Linked DNA regions of Saccharomyces cerevisiae S288C. The gene in region 1 interacts genetically with each later gene. Each region holds a gene or a part of one and is shown on either strand. Other genes may lie near its edges. The genes, in order: RTS2 and HSU1.

Region 1 (3,378 bases):
CGTCCTTCTGATCTATATTTTTTAGCAATTCCTCAGGAAGCTCCGCAATTACTTCATCAGTGACCTCTGTCTCATTCACTGATTTCTTTTGCTTGGCGTATAATTCATTTTGCTTCCTTCTCTTGGACCGCAATTGTGATTGTTCCAGCCTTATAGCCTCCTCCCTCTGAGTGATCTGTGATTCTACCTCACTTTTCCCAGAGTGAAGCCCTTCTTCTTGTGGAGCATCATCATCATCACTTTCCTCATCACTACTTGAATGCACTTCCTTGTCCTTTTTTGATATTACCAGCACATCATCTTGTCTATCCGTGACAGCACTTGCGCTGGCTTGACTTTCATCGGCATCAAACTTGACGTGTCCATTACTCATTGTCTTACTTAATACGTGTATACGGGTAGTAACAGTTCAGGGTATCAATTCGTACTGCCTTCTAAACATATTTGGGCTTGTTCGAACAACTTCGCTAACCTCATCGCTTGAAAAGAAAAATTTTCAATCAACGGAACTTGATACCATCTTTCCGTGGAGGAACCTTCTTTTTCTTTTTATTTACCCGACCATTCCCGTGGAAGGTGACTTGAACACGTTTCAGAGTGCTATCCCCGCTAATTTCCGATTTCATCTCTGGTTGATATACCTTTTCAGTTTGTCGCTTAGCACGATTGAGTTGTCTTTTCAAAAGCTCGGCGGCTATGACTTCTTGCTCCTCTTGTTGACTTCGCAGCATTCCATCTTCAGAAGGTGATGATAAAGATGAGGGATGGATCCTGATAAGCAAAGGACCTTCAACGTTCTCAGATGTATCATCAATATCCATATCCACGTCTACCTTGCCCGCGCGGCCTAGGTACCGGACAAACTGCGTCAAAGAACGATGCATGGTGGCATTCATATGTACATGATCGCGATCTTGAACATACTCGTTGTATACTTTGTTAGCATCAATCCATTTTTCTCCGTGCCGCTGCTTCAATAACTGTAGAAATCCCTTTTCAAACTGGATATTGTAGCGCCTAGCGTCCTCAGCTGTCACTTGACTAATCTTCCTTAAATGAGATGGCGATTTGTTATGTGATTGAAATCCGTTTGCATCTTTACATTGCCTTTGGCATATTTGGCAGTAGTAACGGGTTTTCTGTAACCCACGACGAGCTCCCTGCTTGGACCAATATTTCGCACTATCATAATCTGCCATCGCTGTGATTTTCTACAATCAAACAACCCTGTGTTTTCGCTCTTTTTAGGACTTGTCAAGAAAAGAATGATGATACTGACTTTTCCATTTGATATTAATTTCAACTAGCGGAGTTTTTCCAGTTTTCAAAGTACAGGACAAAGTGTTGTGTAACCCGGACCAGATTTACATTGGTGTACTATAATATGTACTATAACAGATTGGAGGTATAAACCTAGAGACCCTTCTACAATACACGTACGAGGAGGTGGTCTTCGAAACTTACAGTACCACCTGACATGTCGTTATTAGAGCAATTAGCAAGAAAAAGAATAGAAAAATCTAAAGGCCTTTTAAGTGCGGACCAGTCTCATAGTACATCGAAAAGTGCATCCTTACTAGAAAGACTACATAAGAATAGAGAAACTAAAGATAACAATGCTGAGACAAAAAGGAAGGATCTGAAGACGCTACTTGCAAAAGACAAGGTAAAAAGAAGCGACTTTACCCCGAACCAGCATAGTGTTTCATTGAGTTTAAAGTTGTCTGCCTTAAAGAAGTCAAATAGTGATTTGGAGAAACAAGGAAAATCAGTGACATTAGACAGCAAAGAAAACGAACTCCCTACCAAAAGGAAATCGCCTGATGATAAACTCAACTTAGAAGAGTCATGGAAGGCTATTAAAGAAATGAACCATTACTGTTTCTTGAAAAACGATCCATGCATAAATCAAACCGACGATTTTGCGTTCACAAACTTTATCATAAAAGATAAAAAAAACTCGTTGAGTACATCAATACCGCTATCGTCGCAGAATTCATCATTTCTGTCCTTAAAAAAGCATAACAATGAGCTCCTTGGTATTTTTGTGCCTTGTAACCTGCCGAAAACAACTCGTAAAGTAGCCATTGAGAATTTCAATAGACCAAGTCCTGATGATATAATACAATCGGCCCAACTTAATGCTTTCAATGAAAAATTAGAAAACTTAAATATCAAATCTGTGCCCAAGGCCGAAAAAAAGGAACCAATTAACCTTCAAACACCACCTACTGAGTCGATTGATATTCATTCATTCATTGCCACCCATCCTCTGAATTTGACATGTTTGTTCCTCGGTGATACAAACGCAGGCAAATCCACTTTGCTTGGTCATCTTTTATATGATCTAAACGAAATTTCTATGTCATCAATGAGGGAACTACAAAAAAAAAGCAGTAATTTGGATCCTTCATCTTCAAATAGTTTTAAGGTCATTCTAGACAATACCAAAACAGAAAGAGAAAATGGATTTTCCATGTTTAAGAAAGTTATTCAGGTAGAAAATGATTTACTACCGCCATCATCAACCTTGACGCTTATAGACACTCCTGGTAGTATCAAATACTTCAATAAAGAAACTCTGAACTCAATTTTGACCTTTGATCCTGAAGTTTATGTATTGGTTATTGATTGCAATTATGACTCGTGGGAAAAATCATTAGATGGTCCAAATAATCAGATTTATGAAATTTTAAAAGTGATCTCTTATTTGAACAAGAATTCCGCATGCAAAAAGCACTTGATAATTCTTTTGAATAAGGCAGATCTAATTAGTTGGGATAAGCACCGACTAGAAATGATTCAGTCTGAGCTAAATTATGTGTTGAAGGAAAACTTTCAGTGGACAGACGCAGAATTCCAATTTATCCCGTGTTCGGGTTTATTAGGTTCGAATTTGAATAAAACTGAAAACATCACAAAATCTAAGTATAAGTCAGAATTTGACTCTATAAATTATGTTCCCGAATGGTATGAAGGTCCGACATTTTTTTCGCAACTATATCTATTGGTAGAGCATAATATGAACAAAATAGAAACAACTTTGGAAGAGCCATTTGTAGGCACAATACTGCAATCTTCTGTTCTTCAACCGATAGCGGAGATAAATTACGTGTCACTCAAAGTCTTGATCAACAGCGGATATATTCAATCAGGCCAGACAATTGAAATTCATACACAATATGAAGATTTTCATTACTATGGTATAGTTTCAAGAATGAAGAATTCAAAACAAATACTGGAGACTAACACAAAAAATAATATATCAGTCGGTTTGAACCCTGACATTTTAGAGGTTCTTGTTAAGATTCATAATACCGAAGACTTCACGAAAAAGCAATTTCACATTCGTAAGGGTGATATAATAATTCACTCTAG
Region 2 (4,319 bases), on another chromosome or scaffold:
CTAAAGTTTTTGAATGATGAAAATTATTATCCTTCTTCATTAACTTTGGATATTTGAATTTCAAAGATGCAGGTTGTATATAGCCGGAATTCGTTGCAGAGGCAGTTCCAACGTTGCTCAACTTATTCTTTTTTTTGGTTAAAATTGTGTATAAACCTTAAAATAGCGGCGACAACACTTCTTTTTTATAGTTTATAGTAAACCCCAACCTGTGTACATATAAACTAAAGAAAAACTGTGACGCTTTTATTCTGGTAAAGAAACTCTGAAGTTACAGATCAACTAATTCAGAGCGATATAATGTTGAAGTCAATAAGAAGGAACATCTTCAGTTTATAAACAACTAGTGATCTTATGAGCTCTGTCTACTTTCATTAATTAAGATCCATGTGAAGGTTCCAGAAAAGACTTCCTCCAAAAAAATTATATGCTAGAATGGAAAAAAACTTTTATAAACAATATTCTATAAAGATTATAAAGAATTCTTGATTTTTGATATTCTACTCATGATCTGCTTCATGAGTGTTTGGAGCCTCTGCTTTTCACAACATCTAAAGCACTTGAAAAAACTTTCAATAACCACTGGATATCTTCTAAACCTACGCTTACTCTAATAATGTTGGGGTCGGCCCCAAACTTGGAAACTTCTTCTAATTCTGAGTGGTGCGCCAGATGGACATATGGACATGCTAAGGTAAAGTTAGTACCATTAGAAGGTCCCTTGAATACCTTTAAAGAGTCATAGAATGCTTTTGCATCGCCCTCATTGAAAAAGGCTACAGAGAACAAGCATCCATAGCCACCACGTTCATTACGTACACTTTCGTAGTTCTCAAAGGTCTCCTTAGAAGTAACAGTTGGATAATAAATCTTTTTGCATATTTTCCCCTCCTCGGGTAAAAGCAAATCATTCAACAATATTCCTGTGTTTGCATTAGCACGTAAAGTTCTATCTTCAAAATCCCTGGAATTACGTTCTAAAACTATCGCATCTTCACACCATAACAAATCCTCGAAATTAGCGCTCCTGAAGTACTCACGAGCATATGGATACAGAGATGATTTCGGATTTAAAACGACAGAGCCGCCCATTACATTACTAGCACCATTGAAAAGCTTAGTCAGGGACGTGCTGACTATATCAGCATAGGGCAAGATGTCAACGTTAAGGCCCCCAATAGTATCATCAATTACAATAAAAAAGCCATACTGGTCGGCCAAACTCCTCAATTTTTTCAAATCCGGCATATTCAGCAGAGGATTTGAAGGTGTCTCGACGAAAACGGCAAGAATGCGTTGTTTGCTTGTTTCTAAAAACTTTTGTAATTCGACAACGTCTCTAGAATTTCCAAATCCAAAAAATTTACATTTTCCAAATTTAGTCATAATGACCTGCGTATCTTTGAAAGGGAAGCCGAAGATGCCAACAGTGTCACATAATAATGGCTTTTTCTTTTGGTCAGAGGTGGTCTTGTTTAATGAATCTCCTGAATTCTTCTTCTCCTCCCAAAAGGTGAGTAAATTACGAGCCGTAGATATTGCAGACATGCCACTTGATACAAGATAAACGTCTTCATTTGGGTTGAGGTTGAGTCCCTCCCAATTCGGGGTTTTCTTCTCCAAACCAAAGGGCCTGAAGCGATTCTCAACTATCCTTCCCTTTATCAGGTTCTTTGCTTTCTCCTCCCCCTTCTTTGCTGCAAAAACACCAGCCTCTAGCTCACGCAATACCTGCTCTGAGCCATGATTAGCGCAGTCAAGAAGTTGGTTGACAGACAACGCCAATCGACTAGATACACATTCACCTCTTAATTTCCAATACTCTTTCACAGTCTCGAACTCTTCCTCCGATGCAAGGACAGCAGCAATGGTTAGCACCAATTCCGCCGGTTCTTTCGACGTTTTTGCCCCACGGTTTTTAATCGTAACTGTTTCCACTTCAAGGTGAGCTTTACTTTCAGGTCCTGAGACAGATTTTACGTACTCGAAACACTTTAAACCCAGGTTAACGGATGGAAAAGGACGACAGTTTTCTGAACCTCGCCCAAATTTCTTAACAAAGTAAGCACAAAGCCTCTGGACGGGGGGTTGAGGAAAGTACCTCGGATATCCTGTAGCCATTTTGCCTATTACCTCTGGCACCTTTTCCGCATAGCCTATTGCCGAATCCCATGTAGGAATGCCAAAAGAAACAGCATAGTCTAGATTGCTGGGAAGGGGTTGCCCAAATTCAATTTCCGTCATAATAATTTCCACGATGATTAATAGTTGTTCAGTGGTGGTTGAGTACTAGATTTAAAATTTATGTTTTACCGCACCAGAGAAGAATCACTCAATGCTGGAATTGATGAATTGCATCTTGACAATAGGCATTAATATACTTTTTCAAACACATCATTGTAGTGTGCGGCATAACAACCGTGGCGCGTGTCAAGGACTTCTCGGAACACATGCTAAAGCTCCAGTCTCTATCCGTCTATTCTTTAATTTGCTCGTTTAAGAAAGAATAAAATGCCGTATACAGTTATTTCTTCCGTAAATAAATCTTCTTCAACATCCTTTCTTGAGAGCAGCCACACAAATCTAGAGGTGTCTGACTTAATGCAACACAAGGTCAATCTGAATTCAAAGCTGTGGCTGCATATTCATTAAACATATCTTTGAAGGATATCATTTTAGGTATTGCATTGAGTGGGCTTTTGAATCAAAGCCTAAAATGGGAGTATTATGAAAGCAGAGTAAAAATGTTCAGCACGTTGATCTTGAAAGCAGACGGAAAGTCTTATTAGATGAAATTAATGCTGAAATCTCGAAACTGTTCGCTCAGCTACCATGTGCATGTGTGTGGTGTTGGTATATTTTAGTATACTTCTTGATAAAGGTACCAAAGTACTGTATACACATGATAATAACTGGTTAGTCATCCTGGTGTTTTACTTCTTGGCATTCGGCTCGATCATGAGGATTTCGGGCCGAACCTGCTCCGAAGAAATGAAGAAATCTTTCGGCCAGGCATCATATCACAATGGGTTGCAGAATTTCTCGAAGGAATCACCTGTAGGAGTGAACCTCGAAAAAAAGAAAACACATATTTCATGCTGCATCATCCTTGCAACACAACGCTTCCTGCAGAAGTTTTCGAACAAAAGGCTTGGCAATCCTCACTTACACCCCACTCGCGAATCCACATTTTCACGTGAGCTTGCAACAGAGAATAATAGCGGAAACTTTCCCGTATTACTTAGATATCATATCTTCAGACAGCTAGATATCGAAAATGGAATTTTATTATGTCAAGTTCTGCAGGCGCTAATTATTGTTCAAGTAATGTTTTCGTGAGTCTAAAAGCTCGTACAATAGTTCTTTTTTTGGAACCCATTATGAAGCGGAGTGGATGAATAATACGGAATGAAAAGGGCGATAATGGCAAACAATTACGAGCAAAATTCGATGGATGCCGTATCACATTTGCGACAAAAAAATGATCAAAGATGGTAATAGAGTAAAATTTCACGAATGGAGGGCAGATACAAGAGCGAGATGCCAATAGATCGCAGATTAATGCAGCTGCATTTTCATCAGAAAGAGGTGCGCGTGAACTGTAGGAACAGTAGTGCAATTGGGAGTACGTTAACCACACATTTTGAAATCAAGAAGGAAAGTAGGCGCTGGAAATGACCCGAATCCTATAATCGGACAAGAAGGACATAGAAATCGGTATTTACAGTAAATATTCAAAAGACCTTCTACTACCGTGTGCAAAACAGGGAGTGGATACAAGTGGTTTGATCAAATGGAAGTATTTGATACTTCAGTTTCTCCGTTCCGTGTCCGTTCCCTTAGGTCGCGCTTAGTGCTCGAATTTCTTTCACTGCTTACTAATTCATTCGTTTACGTCTCAAATGATTAATAATGTGCTTCCTGCTAAAGGATAGAAACTTGGTGCTCTATATAAAGTACCTACAAAGGATACATGAATGGCAGAGGTTTCCTGATTTACAATGGAGGTGAAAAGATGAAACAAAAAATGATAATATATGACACACCCGCAGGGCCTTATCCGGCCCGAGTCCGCATTGCCTTGGCTGAGAAGAACATGCTATCAAGTGTGCAATTTGTGAGGATCAACCTCTGGAAGGGAGAGCACAAGAAGCCTGAATTTCTTGCCAAGAACTATTCAGGCACAGTGCCAGTGCTTGAACTTGATGACGGGACTTTAATCGCTGAATGCACAGCCATTACTGAATACATTGATGCACTTGATGGTACACCCACTCTTACCGGCAAAACACCGCTGGAAAAAGGCGTAATCCACATGA

Evidence for each region.
Region 2: mutations in RTS2 (region 1) and HSU1 together harm fitness more than expected from each alone (negative genetic interaction), as found in Saccharomyces cerevisiae (one large-scale study listed by BioGRID).

The regions. Positions count from the first base shown.
Region 1 is NC_001147.6:469,720-473,097, reverse strand, and holds RTS2 (Rts2p), read right to left. Parts: upstream 1,200-3,378; coding exon 501-1,199; downstream 1-500. Other genes in the region: BUD21 (Bud21p), read right to left, coding at 1-373; SKI7 (Ski7p), read left to right, coding at 1,478-3,378.
Region 2 is NC_001144.5:21,494-25,812, reverse strand, and holds HSU1 (cystathionine gamma-synthase), read right to left. Parts: upstream 2,245-4,319; coding exon 517-2,244; downstream 1-516. Other genes in the region: JLP1 (sulfonate dioxygenase), read left to right, coding at 1-57; glutathione transferase GTT2, read left to right, coding at 3,974-4,319. UniProt on the Saccharomyces cerevisiae protein: Plays a role in inorganic sulfur assimilation during sulfur-limited conditions; catalyzes the conversion of O-acetyl-L-homoserine (OAH) into homocysteine in the methionine biosynthesis pathway.